Rattus norvegicus: one gene and its partners. The protein of the gene in region 7 binds, or shares a complex with, the protein of the main gene of each other region. Links are inferred from orthologs where the notes say so. Each region holds a gene or a part of one and is shown on either strand. Other genes may lie near its edges.

What was found.
Region 1: Snrnp200 (region 7) and Lsm4 share a complex: the UniProt entries of both Homo sapiens proteins name them as parts of the U4/U6-U5 tri-snRNP complex. The link is inferred for Rattus norvegicus from reciprocal best matches to the Homo sapiens genes SNRNP200 and LSM4.
Region 2: Snrnp200 (region 7) and Crnkl1 share a complex: the UniProt entries of both Homo sapiens proteins name them as parts of the minor spliceosome. The link is inferred for Rattus norvegicus from reciprocal best matches to the Homo sapiens genes SNRNP200 and CRNKL1.
Region 3: the proteins of Snrnp200 (region 7) and C3h9orf78 are in contact, whole or in part, in a cryo-EM structure (PDB 7OS2), measured with the Homo sapiens proteins. The link is inferred for Rattus norvegicus from reciprocal best matches to the Homo sapiens genes SNRNP200 and C9orf78. Residues at the interface, in NP_054733.2 of Homo sapiens: Val1188, His1189, Leu1190, Gln1191, Glu1201, Pro1283, Ser1285, Arg1287, His1288, Leu1289, Asp1729, His1730, Asn1769, Tyr1770, Asn1772, Gln1774, Gly1775, His1780, His1784, Leu1788, Gln1791, Asp1795, Gln1798, Ser1799, Tyr1826, Thr1827, Glu1830, Leu1831, Met1834, Ser1835; in NP_057604.1 of Homo sapiens: Arg5, Lys6, Ile7, Phe8, Arg9, Arg10, Arg11, Glu16, Ser17, Glu19, Glu21, Asp23, Ser24, Glu25, Val27, Arg28, Lys30, Leu31, Thr34, Arg35, Val37, Gln38, Arg41, Arg43, Pro44, Asn45, Gly46, Val47, Ser48, Ala49.
Region 4: Snrnp200 (region 7) and Prpf4 share a complex: the UniProt entries of both Homo sapiens proteins name them as parts of the U4/U6-U5 tri-snRNP complex. The link is inferred for Rattus norvegicus from reciprocal best matches to the Homo sapiens genes SNRNP200 and PRPF4.
Region 5: Snrnp200 (region 7) and Txnl4a share a complex: the UniProt entries of both Homo sapiens proteins name them as parts of the U4/U6-U5 tri-snRNP complex. The link is inferred for Rattus norvegicus from reciprocal best matches to the Homo sapiens genes SNRNP200 and TXNL4A.
Region 6: the proteins of Snrnp200 (region 7) and Tssc4 are in contact, whole or in part, in a cryo-EM structure (PDB 7PX3), measured with the Homo sapiens proteins. The link is inferred for Rattus norvegicus from reciprocal best matches to the Homo sapiens genes SNRNP200 and TSSC4. Residues at the interface, in NP_054733.2 of Homo sapiens: Arg1438, Arg1475, His1502, Lys1748, Gln1749, Val1752, Asp1753, Thr1756, Trp1757, Tyr1761, Arg1762, His1778, Leu1781, Ser1782, Asp1783, Leu1785, Ser1786, Glu1787, Val1789, Glu1790, Gln1791, Glu1807, Met1808, Asn1814, Met1817, Ile1818, Tyr1821, Tyr1822, Asp1928, Ser1931; in NP_001284587.1 of Homo sapiens: Val198, Ser199, Ser200, Phe201, Asn202, Gln203, Asp204, Pro205, Gly211, Arg212, Val213, Ile214, Phe215, Thr216, Lys217, Pro218, Arg220, Gly253, Pro254, Val255, Glu256, Leu257, Ala258, His259, Leu260, Ala261, Gly262, Gly303, Phe304, His305.

The regions. Positions count from the first base shown.
Region 1 is NC_086034.1:18,792,057-18,796,327, forward strand, and holds the start of Lsm4 (U6 snRNA-associated Sm-like protein LSm4), read right to left. Parts: upstream 2,801-4,271; 5' UTR 2,726-2,800; coding exon of another isoform or gene 2,642-2,725; coding exon 2,639-2,641; intron 1-2,638. UniProt on the Homo sapiens protein: Plays a role in pre-mRNA splicing as component of the U4/U6-U5 tri-snRNP complex that is involved in spliceosome assembly, and as component of the precatalytic spliceosome (spliceosome B complex).
Region 2 is NC_086021.1:153,794,497-153,797,614, reverse strand, and holds part of Crnkl1 (crooked neck-like protein 1), read left to right. Parts: intron 1-547; coding exon 548-628; intron 629-1,974; coding exon 1,975-2,214; intron 2,215-3,118. UniProt on the Homo sapiens protein: Involved in pre-mRNA splicing process. As a component of the minor spliceosome, involved in the splicing of U12-type introns in pre-mRNAs.
Region 3 is NC_086021.1:34,664,397-34,667,282, forward strand, and holds part of C3h9orf78 (telomere length and silencing protein 1 homolog), read right to left. Parts: intron 2,652-2,886; coding exon 2,574-2,651; intron 927-2,573; coding exon 729-926; intron 1-728. UniProt on the Homo sapiens protein: Plays a role in pre-mRNA splicing by promoting usage of the upstream 3'-splice site at alternative NAGNAG splice sites; these are sites featuring alternative acceptor motifs separated by only a few nucleotides. May also modulate exon inclusion events.
Region 4 is NC_086023.1:80,885,511-80,887,722, reverse strand, and holds part of Prpf4 (U4/U6 small nuclear ribonucleoprotein Prp4), read right to left. Parts: intron 428-2,212; coding exon 305-427; intron 190-304; coding exon 82-189; intron 4-81; coding exon 1-3. UniProt on the Homo sapiens protein: Plays a role in pre-mRNA splicing as component of the U4/U6-U5 tri-snRNP complex that is involved in spliceosome assembly, and as component of the precatalytic spliceosome (spliceosome B complex).
Region 5 is NC_086036.1:75,947,229-75,950,373, forward strand, and holds the end of Txnl4a (thioredoxin-like protein 4A), read left to right. Parts: intron 1-2,295; coding exon 2,296-2,467; 3' UTR 2,468-2,645; downstream 2,646-3,145. UniProt on the Homo sapiens protein: Plays a role in pre-mRNA splicing as component of the U5 snRNP and U4/U6-U5 tri-snRNP complexes that are involved in spliceosome assembly, and as component of the precatalytic spliceosome (spliceosome B complex).
Region 6 is NC_086019.1:207,681,087-207,684,744, reverse strand, and holds Tssc4 (U5 small nuclear ribonucleoprotein TSSC4), read right to left. Parts: upstream 2,201-3,658; 5' UTR 2,083-2,200; intron 1,834-2,082; 5' UTR 1,769-1,833; exon of another isoform or gene 1,659-1,768; 5' UTR 1,650-1,658; coding exon 684-1,649; 3' UTR 501-683; downstream 1-500. UniProt on the Homo sapiens protein: Protein associated with the U5 snRNP, during its maturation and its post-splicing recycling and which is required for spliceosomal tri-snRNP complex assembly in the nucleus.
Region 7 is NC_086021.1:134,888,673-134,892,172, reverse strand, and holds part of Snrnp200 (U5 small nuclear ribonucleoprotein 200 kDa helicase), read right to left. Parts: intron 3,098-3,500; coding exon 2,999-3,097; intron 1,926-2,998; coding exon 1,773-1,925; intron 1,621-1,772; coding exon 1,521-1,620; intron 1,311-1,520; coding exon 1,174-1,310; intron 684-1,173; coding exon 600-683; intron 521-599; coding exon 347-520; intron 42-346; coding exon 1-41. UniProt on the Homo sapiens protein: Catalyzes the ATP-dependent unwinding of U4/U6 RNA duplices, an essential step in the assembly of a catalytically active spliceosome. Plays a role in pre-mRNA splicing as a core component of precatalytic, catalytic and postcatalytic spliceosomal complexes.

The DNA of each region.
Region 1 (4,271 bases), on a different chromosome or scaffold from region 7:
CATTAGACATGTCTCCAAAATTCACCCAAAAATCAAAATACAGCCAGGCACTTAATTTTTGCACTGAGGGGCAGAGGCAGGAGGATCTAAGTTCCAGGGTAACTGGGTCACACAGCAAAACAAACAAACAAACAACAACAACAACAATATCACAAGGGGCTGGAGACAGGGCTCAGTGGTTGAGAGCACAGCTGCTCTTCTGGATGACCTGGGTTCAATTCCCAGCACCCACATGGTAGCTCACAAATGCCTATAACTCCAGTTCCAGGGGAACCAACACACTCACAGAGACATGCACGCAGGCAAAACACCAATGCACATGAAATAAAAATAAATCATTTAAAACAGAAGAAACAAACATCAAGGACTCAGATCCTCGGGGCCATCGTGCCCAGCCTGGTGACTCTGGGTCACGAGAGGGCTGGGGGAGCCTGCAGCACAGGGCCCTTCCTGAGAAGAGCTAGGGGTGGGGGTGGGGGTTCAGTGGCAGGAAGTGAGGCTGGAGCCCATTTCCTGCAGAGACTTCCTGAAAGGGTAGGAGGCAGAGGATGGCTTCTGTGAAAATGGGTGGTGGGAGGGTGGCCTTGGTGATCAGTGACAATGGTGTCCAGTCTGACCCTCAAATAAACAGTGAAAAAGAGGCACAGTCTGGCAGCCTGTGGCTAAGCTCCAGGGAGTTGGAGCCATGGTCATCCTTGGCTACAATGTGAGGTCAGCCTGGGCTACATGAGACCCTGTTTCAATAAAGGAACAAATAGAACAGTCAAACTCCTGAAGACAAGGCACAGCAAAGGCTCAGGGGCAAACATCACTAAACAAGAACAGGCGCACATACACAGCTCTTCTGGAGCTGTTATGGCCAGCACAGGCTAGTCTGGCTGTGAGGCAGCCATGGTAAGGTCCAGCCTACTACTGAGCTTTTGTCCCTCCTGCCCGGGCCCCAGCCACCTCCCAGGGTGCCCTTCCCCAGACTTTCTTTGCCCAATCCTGCTGAGCATGTCCCCTCCTGTGACTAGGCCCCTAATGGCCACCCTGGGCTGCCAGCCTGTTTCCACCCACCACAGCAGGGGCCGCTCTCTAATTACAGGGTGATCAGCACCAGTCTCCCTGGCTAGACAGAAGGTCAGTGTGGGCGCGGGCTCTCCTGCAGCAGGGAGGGGCAGTAAACACTTGCTGAACAGGCAGGGTGGAGATACCCAGCACAGGTGCATCCTGTCCAGAGCCACAGGTAAGTGTGGTGTAGGGACAGGCCGCCACCCCCAGATCTGCGCATGCAGTGGGATACAGAGGAATGGAAGGAATGGGGTTCATAGAGAAGTAATTAGTCCGTGCTCCAGCTGGGCAGGCCTCCCAAAACGAAGGAAAAAAAGCTCAGAGTGAAACGGGCCAGGGTGGACAGGGAGGGTGGAGCTGGGATAGTCACAGGCTTTTGAGTGGGGAGATACAGCTTTACACTGAGCACCTGCACCTGCAGGTGTTATGGCCACTGGCTCTGGGCTCCAGTCCCAGCACCTCCCATCAGAGGAGCAGTTTCAGGAAAGGAAATTCCTTCTCAGCCACCCTCCAGCCTCTCTGGGATCCAGCGTGTAGATGAGACGGCTGGAGGATCAAGCCTTGGGCTCCGAATTCAGAAACTTTCGGCTGGGACACTCCTGTACCAGCTGGGCCGCAGAGATATGGGAGTGTCTGTGCGTACCTGCGTGGAGAGGGTGTCCAGTCCTGGACACACCTGGCCATCCCTTCAGGGAGGCTCAGAGGCTGGGCGGGTGCTTTATGGTGGGAATAGACTGAAGGAGTCTCAGGGGCTCAGGGTACACCTAGTGGGGAGTGCTTACACAGCATGTGTTAGGCCCTGAGGTCCTGCACCACAAAACCCAGGGTCGCTCTGGAGTAAAGGCAGGATCAGGAGTTCAGTCATACGTGATTACAAAGGAAGTTCAAAAGCAGCCTGGGCTATATGAGATCTGCCTCCCGTCCTAACCCAAACATGGAGGTATACACGTGTCCTTTCCATACTCCACTGATTGAAGCAAGAGGATGAGTTTGAGGCTAGCCTGGATTACGTTAAGTTCAGATCAGAAAGCCTAACCAAAAAACAAAACCAAATATTCTACCATCAAGAACTGAGATGGGCATGTCCAGCTCTCCCAACTTGGGCCAACGCGCCCCTCGATAGAGCAGCAGGGAAACCTGGCCTCCTCTATTCCATCATGTCAGGTCCCACAACTGGGAAGGCCTGAGCCTGAACTAGGAGAAAAAATTTCCTTCCTCCCGAGCAGGACCTGCTATGTGTCCAAGGGAGAGAAACATCCCTCAATCTGGGTTGGACTTTCGGCCAAAGGCGTAGGCAGCTGAGGTCAGACACTTGATAAGCATCAAGTGGGCAATGGAACCCACGTGAGCCCTTAGGTCCGCCCACTTCCCGGAAACGCAGCAATCCTATCAAAAACGGTGACAAGCTCCGGAAGCGATCATAGTCCTTCCGGCCGCAAAAAACCTTGTCCATTCAAGAGATAAATCCGCAACGGTGGCGGACTGGGACCCTAGAGAGACACTGGTCACCTCCGGCCTCAGGTTTCCCCATCTCTCAGCAGCCCGAAGACCCTGAGCGCGCGCCCCGCCGCCTCGCGGCCCTCACCATCTTCCCTGCAGAGATAACTTCCGCCGCTGCACAGCCACTCGCACTCCCACCGGCAGTCTACCGCGCGCTCCAGCCTGAAAAAGACTGGCAGAAACTATAACCAATCAGCGAGTGACTAAATGGACCGATCCAATCGGAACGGGATAAGGCGGTGCCTACATAACGCGGCGGCGTATCGCGTCGTATTCCCACCGTGGGATTGAGGAGCGGCCGTAAAGCGTGACACCGGAGTGACGCAAAAGGCCGCGGTGCTCTTCATGCCCACTCATGGTGTATGTTGGGAAATGGCGCCTGCGCAGATGTGCACTCCTGACTGGTTCGGCGCCACACTGTGGGCGAAACTGGCTAATGCATGTGAATCGCGCTGGGCTGGGGAAACCCGCTTCATACCCTCTTCGCGCTCCTATCTTTCCGTCCTCGCCCTTATGGAGCTCTTTCTCTTTATCAATCCAAATATAATCCTTGAACGCGAACGTCAGGGCCAGCGTTCCCCGGCGACAGGAAACAAATCGCTGGAATTTTCGTGTTTTGAGATGGGTTCTTGTGGCAGCTGAAGCTGATCATGAACTCGCAATAGCCTGGTACGCAACTTCTTCAGTGCTGGCATGGCCGCTGTAGGCTACCAAGCCAGCACCTTGTTTTTTTGTTTTTGTTTTTGTTTTTTTTTAATCGTTATCATTTTGGGAAGAGGTTAGGGTTTCTCTGTGCAGCCCTAACCGGCCTGGAACACTCAGTGTTGACCAGGCTGGTCTCAAACTTCCTGAGATCTTGGTGCTGGGATTGCAGGTGTGTTTTAATCTGTCGTCTTGAGATACAAAGTTAGGTTCTCATGCTTGCCCAGTGTTAGGGTCCATGATTCGCCACCGAAGAATGATACCGTGGATTCAAATAGTATGTAAAGGCAATGAATGTTTTATTCTGCAGAAGTCCAGCATGCTGTGGTCTCCCATTACCAGAATAGACACCCAAGTGAACTTGGAAGTCTGATTTAAAGCACATTAGGGAATTCTGGGGTAGGTGACCTCTATGTTAATCTGTTGGGTCCATCTCTACAGACATTCCATTACTGGGGTGTGGGGGCTGGAAACTTACTGGGGAGGGCTGGAAACTGCTGCTGAGGAAGTCTGGAAACTGCTGTTGACCCAGCCATTGTCCTTGCCTCAGGCCAGGTGGCAGGGCAGCTTCTGAGGCCTGGACTTGCCTGGAATTGCCCAGTTCTTGGAAACTGATTTAGGCCTACTCTCCTTAACTGCCAGTTTGAAGTCTGTCATGGAATCAGTCTAGCCTTTTCACCAGTCAGCCTTTTTTACCCATGGATCCAACTCCCCTGCCCTTCTATTTATTTTTATTTCCTTTGGCTACTGGCGATGGAATCGGAGCTCTGCCCTGAGCTGTCCCGAGCAGGACAGCTGTTTTACCAAGCTTCTGGAAGGCCTGGTGCAGAATGTCAGTGATGAGCTCACTTGTACGGTTCCTCTGCCCCAGGAGACTCCCTGGGCGCCACTACCCAGGGCTCTTCTTCTTTTTTTTTTTTTTTTTTTTTTTTTTTGGTTCTTTTTTCCGGAGCTGGGGACCGAACCCAGGGCCTTGCGCTTCCTAGGTAAGCGCTCTACCACTGAGCTAAATCCCC
Region 2 (3,118 bases), about 19 Mb from region 7:
GAGGTCTTAGAAACAGGACATTTACCAGCTTATAAGCAGCCCATAAAACATTGAAAGCAGAGGCTGCCGTGCTATGACGTGCGTAGGACGGTATCCATCTAGGTCATCACACATGTGTATATACAGATTTTTATTATATTTATTTATGGGAGGAGGGCTGTGTATGTGCCGTAGATCACTTTGGGAGGAGTGGGTTCTGTCCACCACGAGATTAAATACAAGGGCCATGCTTGACAGCTGGTACTGCCATTCCCTGAGCCGTTTCACCAGCCTCTTGGCGTGCTTTTAGTGTTGATAAATGCCATCTTTGCTTAAAACCAACAAACTGCATCCCTCCTCACCCTGAAATCTTACCATAGCTTAATTTAAATTAATTTTAAATATGCCTCTTAAACCAGATCTTTTTTTTTTTTTTTTTTTTTTTGGTTCTTTTTTTTTCCGGAGCTGGGGACCGAACCCAGGGCCTTGCGCTTCCTAGGTAAGCGCTCTACCACTGAGCTAAATCCCCAGCCCCTAAACCAGATCTTTTTGTGCTTGTGTTTTGTAGTTCACGTTTGCCAAAATGTGGTTATATTACGCACAGTTTGAAATAAGACAGAAAAATCTGCCATTTGCCAGAAGAGCTTTGGTAAGTAAAGAGGATTGGCATGTGTCAATGAGACTTATGAGGCAGTTCAGATCTTCATGCTTACGGTTTGTATGGTTCCTACCGAAAAGAAGCAACGAAGCCGGGTGTGGCCTCCCTGAACTACATAGCAAGACCCCATCTCAAAAAGGAAAAAAAAAAAAAAAAAAAAAAAGAATACAGCAGCGGGTGGAGCAGCAGAAATGTATCTAGTATATGTAGACTGGGATAACTCAGAGACCATGCTGGGCTTTGAGAATACGTGACTTCTCAGTGCTCATTTGAAGTGGGACATAGATGTGGCCCCTTCTACAGCCATTGAAGGAGACGGGGTAGAAGAAGGTGAACAGGATGTGGGGTGGTATTGGGAAAGGTCTTCTGGGCAAGGTACGACTGCTGCCTCAATCACAGCAGCATCAGTGGCGGACAAGAGACCTGCAGGAGATCAAGCCATCCTGCTAGAACTGGACAGGGTTCCTGGGACGCCACCTCCAGCAAGGGCTATGGACAGCTGGGGACTGCCGAGGGGACGCAGTCATTTGCTTCAGGGGTGTAGCTGATGCTGGGCTTCCCCTGTTCATGCAGGCAAAGTTACCTGTACTCAGTGTGACACGAAGGCGGGCAGAACGTGTTACAGGGGCGTGTAAGCGGGGAGTTAGGGGTGAATATGATCAAGGTACATTGTATATGTGACAAATGTGAACTTGTCAAGAGATACAAAGACAGCACTTAAGCCTGGTGCTGGTGGTGGTGCAGGCCTTCAATCCCGGTGCTTGAGAGGCACAAGCAGGCAAGTCTGAGTTCAAGGCCAGCCTTGTCTACAGAATGAGTTCCTAGACAACCAGAGCTACACAGAGAAACCCCGTCTTCAAAACAAAACAAAACACAAACAAAACAAAATCCAAGAAATGTCTATAGCTACCAGTTACTAGATCTATCCCCAGGTTAGTAGTCTGAATGCATCTTCCTTATAATTTGTCATAAAATGTCTCAGTAGGATAAATTACTATGTATACATACAATTGGTCTTCAGATTAATTATTTGCTTCCTATGGGTAGTAGTAAGTCAGGTTTTATTCAAAGGTTTGTATGTTTGACATCCGTATTTGTTAGGGGATCTGGGGAGGTATAAAATCCAGTAGTGTGTCATTCTGCAGTAGTGCCTGTAGCTGACGAGGCCCCAGTGTCTGTCATCTGAGTGCCTGGTGAGTGAGAACTGGATGATAGCAGAGCAACAGAAGGCCTGCCAGACTGACTCGAGCACAGGATAGCTTCTAGGACAGAGCCACAAGGACTGAGGTTGAACCGTGCATGAGTGTAACAGTGCTCTTGACCCTTTTATTCTCCAGGGAACTTCCATAGGCAAATGTCCCAAGAACAAGTTATTCAAAGGTTACATAGAACTGGAACTGCAGCTTCGAGAATTTGACAGATGCAGGAAGCTTTACGAAAAGTTTTTGGAATTTGGACCTGAAAATTGTACCTCGTGGATTAAGTTTGCAGAATTAGAAACAATCCTTGGTGATATTGAGAGAGCTCGGGCAATCTATGAATTAGCCATCAGCCAGCCACGCTTGGATATGCCAGAGGTGAGATCCCAAGTTGAATGTATTTTAGATAGTTCTCAAGTATCCCCTTAGCTAACCATGTAAACAAAGTATAAACATGACCCAGCTATTATAATATTATAGTCTTCCCACTCTGATTAGGACTCTGTTGAATAAGAAAGTGAAGAGGGGAGCGTCAGCAGCAATCCCCACACAGCTGACGGGGAAGGAAGGGTAAAGGGGACAAAAGGACAAGCCGGTAAGGAACCAGCTGTAGGCCTCACATCCGGAACACAGGAAATGGGGGTGGAGACTACATAGCTCTGCCCTTAGGGTAGTTTTGCCTAAAATATGATCTTCCTAGATTCTACTGCAGTCCTGGCCTGCCTTCAGTAAAGCCACAGAGAGCACTGAGCCACTGCCAGGACTGCCTGGAGCCTCACAGAAGCCACAGGACTGCCCTAGCCTCCAGTCAATCTTGTACTAACATGATCCTACATCAGGGCAGAGCTTCCTACACGGCTGATCTCACCTGTGGCTCAGTTCCTTTACTCTACTAGACTGACAGCTCCCTCATCCTTGCCCTTTTTTGTCCTTGTGACTATGGTGGGCAGTTCATGTTTTGAACTCAGGGCTGGAGAGATAGCTGCTCTTCCAGAGGCCCTGAGTTCAATTCCCAACAACCACGTGGTGGCTCACAAACATGTGATATGATGCCCTCTTCTGGCCTGCAGGTGTACACGCAGATTGAGCATTTGTATACATAAAATAAATAAATCTTTAATGTTTTTAACTCAAGTGACAAGAAACTGGTATTGGGGTAAGAACATACAGTGGCTAATTTGGCCTATTTTCTCCCTAAAAGTTAACTCATGGGCAGCATCATGAAAGTACCTGGAATTCTTGACAAGTTTTTTGGTTGTGTTAAACGTTTAAAAAGAAAATG
Region 3 (2,886 bases), about 100 Mb from region 7:
GAGAGAGAGATCATTCCCCCATGAAAACGAAGCAGGCTGCTTAAGTGCAAAGGTTCTTGCCAGGCTGGAAAGAGACCAGAACCCACAAGACTCCTAACACTTCCCTTTCAGCAAGGCTGCTGCTGGTCTCTCTCTGTTTCCCTCTAGGCCTCAGAGAGGAGGGTGGGCCAGCCTCTTACACAGGGGAGCAGGAGATCTCATTAGAAATGAGAGGCTGTGGAGGCTAAGGAGACACTTATGCCCTTAAGTCTCTTCAGCCACAGGGACCACAAGTGACAAGAAAACCCTGGAGACAACTTGTCTGAGAGGGCATATCTATAGGTTTCCATGGATACCAAGCAGGATTTCCATAACTTTTGTGAGCATGTGTGTGCTTCTGCGTGCACGTGCAGGCCAGAGGACAACCTCAGTGTAGTTCCTCAGGAGCCACACGGCGGATTTCTTCGAGGCTCACTAATCGGCTAGGCTGGCTGAACAACGAGCCCAGAGGCTCTCTGATCTCCAGCTGCCCACGTGCCCTGATACACCTGCCATTTCTGGCACGGGTGCTGGGGGTCAAACTGAAGTCCTCGTGCTTGCATGACAAGCATTTTGCTGAGCCATGTCCCATAACCCAGGGTGTGAGGAATGCTAGGGCAAGAGCTCTGTGCCTTGTCTGTGTAACCACGAACTGGAAAAGCGTCAGCCCTTCCCAGGCATGGGGGCACAGCCAGGGTTGGGAGACTTACTCTATGCCCAGGTCCACCTCAGGGATGCCACTCAGCATCTGGTTGGACAGCATCTCCTCAGTTTTCTTGGCAGAGGAGACTCGGATATTCTCTGGCAGCTCATAGAGGCAGTCCTCAGCATTCTTGGGCTTGGCCTTCTGTTCCTCTTGCTCCACAATCCCCTTCCTCTTCTTCAGCTCCGTCTCAATGTACTTCATCCTGTGAGGGGGTATACAGGCTTAAGGGGCCAGCATGGCCATAACAAGGCAACTGCTAATCAGCATTTTTAATGAAAACGTTTTACACTTAATTTTATGTCATCTATGAATATGTGAGAACATGTGTACCGCAACACATGTGAAGTCAGAGGAGTTGCTTCTATCCCTCTACTGTGTGAGTCCTGGAGGCTGGCAAAAGACATCTTTACCCACTGACCCATTTCACCAATCGATGTGTGTTATCTTGTGCACCTGCCTCACCCCTTTAAAGGATGCCCAGTTGCCGGTCAACTGTCCCTTTAAGAATTCCTTTTTTTTAAAGACTGAATTTATTTTAAGTATGTGAGTACACTGTCACTGTAGCTGTCAGACACACCAGAAGAGGGCATCAGATCCTATTACAGATGGTTGTGAGCCACCATGTGGTTGCTGGGAATTGAACTCAGGATCTCGGGAAGAGCAGCCAGTGCTCTTAACCACTGAGCCATCTCTTTAGCCCCCTTTAAGAATTCTTAGGTGTTAGAACTGCTAGACCCTATGACCTTCAGTGTTGGCTCCCTCTTGGATTTCTGGGAACAAAACAAGATATAAAAAGGCTGGCTGGGGATGGGGCTGGCAAGTGAGAAGAGAAGGCAGCTGGTGAAGAAGATATTCTGAGGAGACAGTTGAGATAGAAGCTGAGCTGAGTTAGGAAAACTGGGGAAGGGACTGTTTAAGCGACTGAGAACTGAGGGAAGAACGGTTGGGAGAACCATTTGAAGGGGCTGGGCCAGAAACTAGGAGGAGGGCTGGCAGGAGTTAAGAGAACTGGTCATTGTTCTAAAATGCTAGCCATTTTACAAATGTGGGGGAAATTCAGAGATAGCTTCTCCTCATGTAGACCAGGCTTGTCTCAAACTCACAGACAACTGCCAGTGGCTATCAAGTGTTGAGATTAAATATGCGTGTCAACAACCTGCCTTCAGTGAAAATATTATCAGTTCATGGAAAAACTAAGAATAAAAATATCTGGGAGTTCTTGAGACAGTCTCACAATTGTCTCACCTAGTTGATCACAAATGTGAGATCTTCCTAACTTAGTCTCCTTAGTGTAGAACTACAGGCATTTGAGTTCTGAAAATTTCAACTCGAAACACCAATGTACATTGGAGATTATGATACTAGATCTCCTGGAGTGACCATATCAAAGGTTCTTTGAATATGGAAAAATGGCATTATGTTTTTCTCCCTCTCCCCTCACCCCCTTCTCAAAGTGAACTCAGATTTACCAAGACAAAGGAAAAGTGAGGAAGAATTCCTAGTTGGGAAAGGTTCAAGAAAGGGATACTCTGGTAAGGATACTCTGGTACCATGTTTTAAAGGCCTTGATGAAAAAGATTGATAAATCCATGATACTAATCCTTGTGTTTTAAGGAAATATCACTAATCAAGAAAGGCAAGGGCTGAGGATATAAGTAGGAGAGAGGGCAGGAATTATCAATGCAAACAGAAAACCACCTTTGAAACCTTTTACAGATCCCAAACCTGAAAAGTAGGGAGGACACAGCCAAGAAAACATGAGAGAGGCCACCTGTGACCAGACATGTCTGAATGTCTGGCTGGGGCTGAGTTACAGTACTTACAGACAACTGGACTCACGGGTACCTACATGTCTGCATCCTCATCCCTCCGGTTGGTCTCTGCAGAAAAAGATGTCCCCAGGTGCAGATCCTCCTCTTCACTGACCCTGAGAGTAGGGAGCAGGTCATGGTCATTGACGCCAAGTTACAACTCAGGACCTCTGGAAGAGCAGTCAGTGCTCTTAACTGCTGAGCCATCTCTCCAGACCAAATGCATGCTTTCTTTTGCAAACTTTTATAGTAGTTAAGTTCCTGGGTGTGCAAAGGTTGTGTCAGGGTGCCCTCCTTTCTAGAGTCTCCCCATTGTCTCTTTTTTTTTTTTTTTTTTTTTTGGTTCTTTTT
Region 4 (2,212 bases), on a different chromosome or scaffold from region 7:
TAGCTGTGGATCAGATGCATCAGTTAGAAACATAGAGTGCTGTCTGACCTGGACCCTTCCCACTCACTGAGTCTGCTTTACCCATTGGGGGAGAAACTTATCCCGTAGATCTCCTTCAGATGGCCTTCTAGGAACATAATGCAGCGTCCTGTGCGTAGGTCCCAAACTCGGCCAAAGGCATCCAGTCCCCTGAGGAGACAACATTTGTGTGAACATATGGAATACAGTGTGACAAGAAAGCGGGGTTGCCTAAGAGGTGAGACTACTAAGCTGCCCTTCCCTTGCTTTGTGGAGGAAATCTTACCCAGTGCCAGCCAAAGAGCCATCTTGATGGAAGGCAATGTCATACACACCCATGCTGTGGCCTTCCTGGTGTAGAATCTCCTCTTGAGCCTCTAAATCCCATAAGCGCCATGAACGGTCATAACTTAAAAATAAATAAGAATAAATTTTCCAACTTACCAAAATTATACCAACGATAAATCAGCAGATTAAGTGTCTATGACAAGGGGTTGGGGATTTAGCTCAGTGGTAGAGTGCTTGCCTGGCAAATGCAAGGCCCTGGGTTCGGTCCCCAGCTCCGAAAAAAAAGAAAAAGAAAAAAAAAAGTGTCTATGACAAGGAACTATAGATAACCATAGCTTAGCTCGCCGCTGGTCAACCATACTACCAAGAGCTGCCAGGCTGGAGGGGGACGGCTGAGGACAAAAGCAGACTGCTCTTCCAAAGGTCCTGAGCATGATTTCCAGCAACCACATAGTGGCTCACAACCATCTATAATAAAATCTGGTGCCCTCTTCTGGTGTGCAGGCATATATGCACATAGAACACTACTAAATAAATCTAAAGGCGGGGCAATTGTATCCTAAAAAAAGGAAAGAAAGGAAGTAAGGAAGGAAGGGGAAGAGAAGGGAAGGAAAAGGAAGGAAGGAAGGAGAGAGAGAGGAAGGAAGGAAAGAAGGAAGGAAGGAAGGAAGGAAGGTAGGTAGGTCTTTCTGACATGAGCAATGCCTCACCGTCCAAGAGTCTGTTTTAGTTGACAGTTGGGAGACCATGAACATTCTGTACTTTAGTGGGTATTCTTTAAAAAACAAATTCCCTGGATTGGGGTTGGAGCTCAATAGTAGGGAGGTCTTGCCTGGTATGTGCAGGGCCCTGGGTTCGGCCACGAGCACAAAACAAAAACAAACTTCTTGAAGAATGGCCCAGCAAAGATGGCACTGCCTCCCCCTCATTCCTCTGCTGCACTCCTTCACTCATCATCAGGCATTTGTGTATTTACTGGAGACTCAATTGAAATTTGGGCATTAAAGAAAGAAAGGACAAATAGAGCAGATCTAGAAATAGACCCGAATGTGTACAATCAGAATGTTCTCATTAAAGGTGCAAAAGGAATTTTAATGAAAATCTTAAAGGATGGTTGCAAACAGGTTTTGGTAGTACAAATACAGAACAGATAAACTCAGGAAGGGCAAAGCAATTGGAGCCTGCACTAAAGATGTGCAAGATGTGTGAGCATGTGGCAAAATAAGTGCAACGCCATCAGGGTGGGACACTGACATGAGGTATTACTGTGTGCTCTACTGTGGGCAAAACAGTACGACTGGCAACAGCAGACACCGACACAGCTACAAACCAGAGTGGGTGGAGCCCAGCTGTTTCTAAGATTTTATTCTGGGGAACAGCGTCTCACTATGAAGCCCAGACTGGCCTCAGTTGTGAGGCCCTTGTGCTGAGTGTTGGGACTGTAAGCATATGGCACTGAATCCAGCTTGCCCAAATCCTTTAAAAGCTAACATACATCTACTCTATACACCACCACTCCACAAACTAGCAATTATATTGTAACTATCTAAGAGCAAGGGAAAGACAACCACTATATCTACAAAAAGCTTCAATAAGGGTATTTATAGATGGCACAGGATGTTATTCCAGAGGACCCAAGTCCCAGGACCCACACAGCAGCTCACAATCATGCGTAACTCTAATCTGATGCCCTTTTTCTGGACGCAGGCAAAAAACTCATACACAAAACATGAAAAAAGGGTGTTTACAGTAGTTTTATCTTGACTGGCCACAACCTAGAAACATGCCCACATGTCCATCAACGGGAGGATGCATAAACCGTGGCTCAGACACACAACACACTACAACTCAACAACACTAATGGGTATAAACAGGCAGAATGAACGCAATCAAGTCATAGGTTGTT
Region 5 (3,145 bases), on a different chromosome or scaffold from region 7:
GGCTTTTCTTCTTGCTGCTGTTGGTGGGAGCCACTCTGCTCTTTAAGGCTCCTCTGTCTGAGTAAGACAGCATCCATTGTCTGTCACAGTGAGCTTTTCGCACAATCCTCTCCTTCTTAGAGGGGGGTTAGACTAGTGCGAGTTGGGTAATCACAGTGATCTCCTTTTAGAGCCAGCTACTGAGGAGCTTGGCCCGTGTCAGGAATGTCCTGTGCAGTGTCACAGCAGAGGTCCCAGGGACGGGCGGTATTTTAGGATTTTGTCTATTATCCTTGAGACTGTCCTTCCCTTAAAGCAAGCCAGGACCCTCTCCCAGGTCTCCAAGGACCCTAGAGACCCCACTCCTGGGACCAGCAGGTCACAGTCCTCATTGTCCAGATCACCCAGTCAGTTGCTCTGAGGTCTACAGCGTGACCCCTGCCCTGTGAAGTTGTTCCAGCTCAGAGGGATTGGGCAGAAACAGGGAGCCTCTTCCCCTTCCACCTCCAACACCCCACACCTGCACACACAGCACACAGGGCCAGACAAACTTTAATAAGGCTCAGTATTACACTCCTAGCTGCGTGCTCCCCCTGGGAAGGGATCTAACCAAGTCTCCTTCATGACTGATGCTTGCAGCTGAGCAGGTTGACCAGCTCTTTCAGCCACAGTGGGGGCCATTCTCTTCTTTCCACAGTCTTCTCTTCCTCCACAGTTGCTGCCTGCGAATGTTCTGGCCTTCAGCACTGTGCTATCTGAAGAAGCTGCGAGTTTAATTTTCTCACTAACAGTCCTGAGCCCACTCATCTCTGTCCTTTACGGACAGAAAGAAAACAGGCAGCATTTCCTTGTTTGGAAATCTCTTCTGCTAAAAAACAAGTTCAGTTAACAAGTTCTGCTTTCCATACAACTATAGGACACAGTAGTTCCTTCCCAGTGTGCAACCAAAGTCCCTTCCTCTTTGTGAGAAACAAGGCGCTCACTTCACATGGGAGAGAGGGACTAGCTTAGAGAGACAGCGACAGGCATGGGAGGAGGTTGGAGGAAGCAGTGTTGGTGTGTGGGTAGGGACAGCCGGTGTCTTTGAGGTCATTAGGACAGATAGTGGACTCAGAAAAGAAGACAAATTTCCTCCTTCTTCTGTGATCCAAAGTTCTAGAACAAGAGTCAAGAGTGGTCAGTTTATATCCCAGTGTACCTACCAGGTACACTGAGTACCTACCAGGTTTTACTCTTAGGACTGGGACAGAGTAAGAGAAGCCAGGCTCCTCTTTACAAAAACCCTTTGCAGAGATAAAACTGACTGAAGCCTGTCAGAATCACACAGGGTTCCCGGGTATACAAAGTACTAGTCATGTCCAGTGTGCTTACAGAGAGACTAAGCCATAGAGCCCAGTAGGGCTGCTGTGCATGTGGGTAGGAGGAGGTGTGGGTGTCCACCCCCTTCCTGGGCTAACTGAGGACATGGAATGCTCCCTGGGAGTGAATATTTGACATATGTCATGTCAAACTGACCTTTTCACTGCTCTCAGAACCAGTGGGGCGTGGTCATGGGCTATAGTGGAAGCCAGTGTGTGATTCCATAGAAGTGATCCCATAGTGTTAGACTAATAGAAACAGATCTTTAGAAACTTGAAAAAATTCATGCAAATTCAGTAGGGATTAATATCTTTATTCAGAAAGTACAAATGCAGGTTCCTAAGTGAGGGAAAGGCCTGTCCTCTGAAGGGTGAGTGGCTAAGGACTGTTTGCTTCTCAGTCACAGCATACCAGGTGGGCAAAGCCATCATTCTCAACCCACGGTTACAAAGCGTTTGGTGAATCTGTACCAAGTCCCTGTGCACAAAGCATGAGAAGGTCACAGGCTTTTTCAGGAAAATTAGAGCACCTCGGGAAAACTGCTTGTCTTTCAGAACGATACAGCTGTCTTTGACCTTTACAGTCCAAGATACGGATGCACAATTGCAGGGCACAGCGGTGCATGCCCTCAGTCTAGAACTCGGGAGCAGGGGCAATGGGGTCTCTGAGTTTGAGGCCAGCCCTATCTACAAAGTGAGTTCCAGGACAATCAGAGATATGTAGAGACCCTGTCTCAAAAGAACTAAATTATATATGTAAACAAATGCACAGAAAATCCAAGAAGAGTGCAGAGTTTTTCTATAGAAAATTATATTTAGTGTTTGTCTTTATTTTGTCTTGAACTGTGGACTCTCTGAGTGGTCTGTGCTCTTAAATGGCATTACAGGTGCTTAGGCCGCAGAGAGACCAGACGTGCGTGGGGCTCTCTGTGAGCATCGCTCTTCTCTTCTCTTTCAGAAACAAACACATCATGATTGATTTGGGCACTGGTAACAATAACAAGATCAACTGGGCCATGGAAGACAAGCAGGAAATGGTTGACATCATAGAGACCGTGTACCGTGGCGCCCGCAAAGGCCGAGGCCTGGTGGTGTCGCCCAAGGACTATTCCACAAAGTACAGATACTGAGCACTGACTCAGGCTGTGCACAGGACACTGGGAGCCTCTTCTGGCTAGACAGACTCTGCTCTCATAGCCTCGGGAAAGGGCCTGCAGCAGAACATGGCCTTAGGGCTGGAGGAGCCTTGAGATGAGTTACAGGGGCCTTAACTACCTGAAGCAAATAAACGTGAAGGAACAGTAGGAATCTGCCGTGTGCTTTACTGACTGTAAATGTCTTCACTCTCAGTGAAAGCGTTGTCTGTCCCATGAGGCTGTCAGGTTTTGCATCTTCAAGTGGTCGCTAGAGCTGTCAAGCAAATACCACAGATAGGGTGGCTTCCACAGACATTTCAGCTGTATGGTTTTCCAGGTCTGCACCTGAGGTGGCTGTGTTCTGGGTTCCATTTGAGGCGTGGGCTATCCATAGTAACCCCTTAGCTCTGGAGGTTATTAGCCGTCCTTGGTGAACCTTGGATTGAGAGTACATTATCCCAGTGTTTGCCATTTTCCTTACGAGTTGTGTATGTCATGTGTACGCATGTATATGCCAATCTCAAAATATTCATAGTTATAAGAATACCAGTCACATTGTCTGAGGGGCCCACCTCACTCTGACAACCTCATCTTAACCAATTACATATGATAATCACTTCAAATAAGGTCATGGTCTGAGATTCTGAGCTTAAAACATCAATATATTGATTT
Region 6 (3,658 bases), on a different chromosome or scaffold from region 7:
GGTGCTTAGCAGGCCAGGCTGGCTAACTTGGTCCAAGTCCCTGGCCTCCACATGAAATACTCACTCGTGCATCCTTCTCCTCCTCCCTGGCCCAGCTTCAGCTGAAGGATCTAGCATCAGCTGTGTCTTATACAGAGGTCACAAGTCCTGGAGACATACAGCCCGGACACCAACCATTTGCTGGCTCACAACTTATCCTCTTCCTAGAACCCGTGGTCTGTGCGGGCCCAGTGCTGGGGCTGCACTGGTTTCTGGGGGGCAGGGGGACCATATTATGCTCATCCAGTACCATCAGGGGCACAAGGCTGAACACAGCTACGAGCCCACTCCCTCTGGGTAGGTTACCAGTGACAAACATCAATGCCCATGGCAAACCTTCACAGCGGTCCTCACTAGAGCGGGGAAGGCAGGATGAGGCTGGTAGAGATGCAGTCCTGTAGTTAGCTGCCCAGGACTGTTTGGACATAACTCTTGAGTGGGGCCGAGAAAAATTCACGAAATTCAGTAAATACTCAAAACCTTTATTATTCACCCCAAACAATGGGGCACAAAGGCCTTCAAGGTCCCCTGACCCACAATTCCCAGTCTCTGCCAGAGTTGAGGCCCACACATCCCTACTACAGAGAGCCCACACTGTCCCACCTGGACTGGGCAGGTGAGGAGGTAGAGCGATGGCACTGCAGTCAAACTGAGGGTCCTCTCTCAGACCCTGGCCCCTCCGGGTTACTATCCCTGTTCCGGAAGTGGTCTCTGCTCCGCTTCTTGCTGCCATGGAAACCAACAGTTTTCATACCTATGGGGCCTGATGAGGACTCAGGACGGGCAGCTTCTGAAGGCACTACCACCTCTGGCTGTCCCTGGTGGCCACTCCATTCCTCAGCCTCAGGCCCGGCGAGATGGGCTAGCTCCACTGAGGCCTCACCCCCTGCACCTGACACAACCCCCTTCTTTAGGACCCTCTTCCTCTCAGCCCTAGCCTCGCTGCCCCGCACTGGTTTGGTGAAGACCACTCTTCCCTCCCCACAGCTAGAGGGGTCCTGGTTGAAAAAGGGCACATAGTCTGTGGGGGATGCCTGGCTTCGAGAGCTCAGGAAGGCCAGGGCAGCATCACGATTGCTCTGCTCACTGGTTTCAGACACATCTTCCAGACTGTATTTGGTCCAACGCTCAGGGTGTGACACATAGTCAGGGACAGGGTGTACCCTGGTCGGGTCAGTGTTCCCATGCACTCTGCTCAAGCTTCTTGCTGGAGTCTGACTTGGGGGAGCCACAGGCCGCTTGAAGCTGCAATTGTCAACCACACTGGTTTGGGGAGCAGAGCACGGTTCCTGCCGGGCTGCACTCTCCAGACAATCAAAGATGCTGTGGCTCCGCTGGGAGAAAGTGGAGCTCATGCCTCGGAGGTGGAACGGCTGCACTGCAGTGGTGGGAATGCCCGTGGGGTGCGAGGGAGGGTCATCAGGGCCCGAGTCCTCCTGGCTCTCCCCAGAAAGCCTCTCTGGGGACAACGCTTGGACCTCCACACCACTAGGTAAGCTGAGGTCAGAGTCCGAGTCGCTGAGGGAGACGGTGTCAGAAGGCAGGGTGTCATCCTCGGTGGGTTCCTCAACCTCCAAGCCGGCCTCTGTCTCCGCCATAAGACCTGACATCCGTCCCACCTGTAGCAAGGCAGTCCCAGTTCTGCCGTGAGGGGTGTACCTAATGCCGCACCCCTCCCCGCCCTCCCGGGCTCTTTCACCTCCACTGTGTGCCAGGCGCCTCTACTCACAACCGGACCGGAGGCCTCGCGAAGCTGGGTGGCTAAAGGGTATCCTAGCGTGCACAGATGTGGAGCTGCAGGTTAGGTGGGGTTAAGGAGAGAGTCAACCATGAGATCATAACAGTGTGGACATACAATAGATGAGCGCTGGGAGATGCTGGTGACAGGGGATCTCCATCAGCGGCTCGTCCCATCACGAGCTCTTAGCAAAGCGCAGCCTCTCTGGGCACACACTGAAGGCACCACCCGGGGTCCGGAGGGGGAGGTGGCAGAAACAGGCACGGTACTGGCCTGGTCGCGGCCCTAGGGAGGCCAGTGCTCACCGTTCCAGCATCCGTACACGCTTCAATAACCTGCCACCTTTCCCGCAGCGTCCCGCCAGTTCCACGGGATTCCGGCCTGTTCAATCTCGCTTGGATTCCTGGGAAACCGAGTCTCGGGCTATCAGAATATTGTGGCTTCAGCGCCCGAGAAACTACAACTCCCAGAAGGCAATGGGGTCACTGCCTAATGCCTGCCGGGACTTGTAACATGTGTGCCATCCCGAAGACCGGAGCGCACACGGAAATCCACCCAGAAATGACGAAAGGGGAAAAGGCGGAGCCGTGATTCCCACAATACTCTAGGGTTAACTGCCAATCGCAAAGGGTTGAGGCTTCTAGCGTCGTCCGTCGGAAGCCACCTGGGCCGGGTCCGACACGAGGAAGTGCGTCACTACGCACTGCGAGCTACAACCAGTTTCCCAGACACTTCCGGCCCTGGGCGGAAGTGGTGCGGGTCTTGTGCTTTGTTGGCTTTCTGGAGTTGGGCGGGACCAAGGTCCTGGTTGGCTCTTGGCGTATAGAGACGTGGTGGTCCTTGTAATGGGTTGGTTGGGGCTTCATAGATTCGAGGCCGTTACCGTGGGCACTGCCTGTCTGTGCTTCCTGACACAGGCACGGACGGACGCTTTAGGTGCTGGACGCTGACCCTACTATTCAAGGCCACACATAATCCTCCTCCAGGCCTGGGACTGTTTTCTTGCATCCTTAGACACCAGAGTCTGAGGATCCACTGGGCTGCTGCATTCTCTCCTCCTTTACTATGTTCTTGAAGCTGTGCAACAGGCTTCCAACAGCCTTGGCCTGGTGCCCATGGGCCTCACAACATAGAATATAAAGGTTCCCTCAGAAGCCAGCCAAGCATGGAACAGGTTGCCCTGGCGTGGTGGGTGGAGGTGGCTGAGACCTAGAATGCCCTAGTACAAGCTTGGGGTTCACCGACAAATCAGCCTACTGCTGGGACCTGAATCTTAGCCAGGACTTCTCCTCTCTAGTGGCCAATTAACCCAGCAGCCTGGGGGAGGGGTGCAGACAGGAGTCAAAGAGAAAGACAGTGGTGGTTGCCCCTTGTGTCCAGGAGGTTGCTTTAGCCTGATCCTCAGTTCACAGGGGTGAGCTCAGCGGACTGCCTTTTATTTCTTGAGACACAAGCTAGAACCATCCAGCTCAGTGGAATATTTCCAACACCTAGATACCTGAGATGGGGTAATGGTCTAACCTTTACTGTCTTGTCCCTCAAAAGGAAAGTGTTCTTGCAGTTTATCCCCAACATTCTGTGCTGGATTCCCCTGCCTTGTGGCTCCTCCTACCCGACTCAGCCGACCTGGCATTCCCAACAGATGAGTGGAAATGAGGTCAAGGCTGGTGTTAGGTCAGCATTGAGCTCCCAGTACAGGGAGGTACAGAAGTGAGGGAGTACTCAACATGGAGTGCTCCCAGGGTCCCAGCCCTCCCCACCCACTGTGTTCCACAGGCTCTATTGGACCTGCTCACCCTGTACCTGGCAAAGTTCAGAGCTGACGAGCCAGGTCTCTGACACCACTGGCACAGGAAGAGGTCTGGCAGTCCCATTAGCATG
Region 7 (3,500 bases):
GCCTGGGCATACTTTGGCAGCTTCTCCACTGGGAGCAGTTGCTAAGGGAAGAAACATCCCATACTTTATGCAACTGGATTCTTCAGCAGGTTGCCCATCCTTATAAGATTACTATGATTTCACTTTGATTTCCCCATGACTTCATTCCCTGACAATCACCATTCATAATTCTCCATTATAAACCTGTCCAGAGAGATCATTATTGCTTCCTGGTCTTAGAATGGGAAAACTTTGAAACAGTTACCACTACTAGAATAAATTATCTGAGACATGGTGACATTTTAGCTAATGACTAAAAGCCAAACTGAAAGAGAGAAGCAGAGAAAGGAAAAGGTGATTCACTCACTTCTTCTGAGCCAAAGGGCTTGGGCTTCAAAGCAGGCACGTGCACCTCTTCATAGCCCTTACGCTGGCGTCGGAAAGACCCGTCGGGAAGCTGGCAGCGCTTATTGGCCATGAAGTGGCTTCCTTGAGTAAAAACAAGGTCCTCCAAATCCAGAACCTGCCTCGGAGCCAGAGCCTGGAAACAGGTAAAACAGAAACAGGCTGAGCAGTTGAGCTTCACAGTCACCACGGCCTGGGAACAGCCCGGCACTCACCTCTCCACCCTGGTCCAAATCCATGGTTTCCAGATCTGTGTCCATTCGGGACTGACGGACTCTCTCTCTCCGGGACCTTTCTTCCTGCAGCAGGGAAAAAGAAAAAGCACAATCATCTATATCAATCTCCTGGGCTCTTGTCCTTTCCAGTCCCTTCTGGGTTGGGCTTCATTCATGGATGCTATATCATGTATTCCCAAACCAAAAGACATCACTTTGTATTCTGAGACCTGCCAGAGATTATAAAAATAAATAAATAAATCAGTCAGAGATGGCAAATACAGTGACGATGCAGTGGTCTGAAGAGGGATGTCAGAAGTAGACAGTCTTCAATTAACTACCGAAGGCAGGGAGAAAAGGTGTTCTATATTAAACAAACACGCCCTTTTCCCTGGTTGTAGTAAACAGATCCCATGGTACTAGATGAAGACAGTGCCTCAACCACAGCAACGAGTGTGCTGATTCTAATCTGCACCCTGACAAACTCCAAAGAACAGAGAGATATGATTTATTACCTCACACACTGAAAGAGAAACGAGACAGACAGACTAAACCATGATCAGGTCTTCCTTACCCTGATCAGGTCTTCCTTCTCAGTTTCATGGAGCTGATAGAGGAATTTGGAAAGCTCTGGATCAGCTTCCATCTTTCCCATGATCCTCTCCTTTTCAGCTTCACTCTGAGCACTGGCCAATAAGGTACAGTATAAAACTGCCAAACACAATAGGGAGAGAGAGAAAGTGGCAGAGAGTGAAATAAAACCAACTTTTATTCCTGAGCAAATAGAAGGTAATTAGATACTGAAGCCAGAGAAGCAACGCAATTCAGCAGACATGCTAGCAAACATGCTAGCAGACATGCTCGCACGCACGCACGCACGCACATATGCACACGGAGCGAACCAGTGCATAGTCTACTCACTCATCATCCTGTGCTGCCGCAACACTTTGATGAAGTCAAAAGTGTTGAAGCCAAGGAGCAGAACCAGCTGGTTCTCACATTCTCGGTCATCACTTGCTGTCTGGAGAGAGAAAATAAGGCCACCAGTAAGGATACAGCCACCTGCTACCTCAGACACTGCCCCTGCAGTGGCAGCACTACACTAAGCACAGCCGCCTCCCAAACACTGACCTTTTCTGAGACACATGGAACACAAGTACTACTTGGCCATACCTTCAAAATCTCCAACACCTCATCTGCCTTCTTCTGCGACACAATGGCATCATCATAGAAACGACTGAGCTGTCGCTGCAGCCAGAACGCGTCAATATCCCGAGGGTGCAAATCCTTCTTCTTAGAACTCATCAGTTCGCCTGAGGCTACAAGCTAAGAAGGAAATCAGGCATGTGGCTCACTGGGTCTCTTTATCATGCTCCACCCAAGGTTCCTGTCAACCCATAGGCTACGTTCTAAGGTCTTTCCAGAAAGCAGCAGCTCTAGTACACTGAACTCAGGAGCACACCAGACTAAGATTTCATTAACACGTGTCTTTGGGAAGAGTAACAACTAACGTCCTAAGAAAATCAAATGCTCACTGTTTAATAAGGCTCGACTGGGCTTGGTGGAACACCTGCAATTCCAGCCCTCAGGAGGCTGATGCAGCAGATTCCAAATCCGAGGCCAGTCTGAGCTGCCCATCAAGCTACTGGCACAGGTCTGTACATTTACCCACTACTCAGAAGGCAGAGTTGACAGAGCTGCACAACCTGCATGAGCTAGAGGGTAAGTCCAGCCCTGGCAACTCCGTGAGACCCTTTTTCAAAATAAAATTTTTTTTAGTCTCTTTAAATCCTGGTGCTATAACTCAGTGCTAGAGCATTCGCTTTGTACAAGACAGTAAGTTCAACCCCAGGACAACAAAAAACAAAATACTCAGCAAGGTAGCGGTGGTGCATGCCTTAATCTCACCACTCGGGAGGCAAAGTCAGGTGGATCTCTGAATTCAAGGCCAGCCTGGTCTACAGAACAAGTTCCAGGTCAGCCAGGACTACACAGGGAAACCCTACCTTAAAAAACAAATAAACAAACCACTCTAATATTGTCATTACAACGTTATCTATACATCAAATTTTAAAAACAACCCAAATACCCATGGAAAGGAAATCTGGCAGGCACAGTGGTCCACGCTGGTAATTCTAACACTTGAGAAGAAGGATGAGGAAGACGTCAAAGTTTGATGCCTGCATGGGCAACAACAACAAAACTCCAAACAGCCCCAAAGCTGAGAACGACGAGACAAGCGCAATGGTGGAGCACTGGCCCAGCATGTCTGAAGCTGGGTTCAATCTGCAGTGGCCCCCACCCAGAAAAACCAACCACAGCTCAGTGAGTGTCTTAGTAGGAGGAAGTGCTTCATTCAGAAGTAAGCTGGCCTACACCAAGACAGGGACTGTACTTACATTAGCGGAGAGGGTACAGCGCACAACAGCTTCATCCCCTTCCATGTCATCATCAGAAGCTTCTTCTCTGACTTCCCCATACACATCTTCATCACCTTCCTATGGAGACAACCCCAACCTCAATACAGATGTGGAACTGGTCCTGTGTCACTCAGACCTTGTCTTTCAATCACTCTAAGTATGCACCATGCTTAGAACAATGGCTTTGGGGTAAAGCCAATAATCAACCATATTCCAGGAACATCAACGGAATGACCATTTGGAACGGGCTTATTAGATGTATCTGTCCTCTTTTCTGCTTCTTACCTTAGCTGCCAAATATCAAACACCAGGATCATATGCTCCTTCTGAGACACAGATATCTCAAACTAAGACTATTGGCTAACAGAGGACCTATGAAGATGTACTCACAGGAAAGCAGATTGTGAGCCAGAAATGTAGACACCATGGTTAGTTTGCATAATCTCAGTTGTGGACTGTTCTTAAAGAGCATCATGTTCAA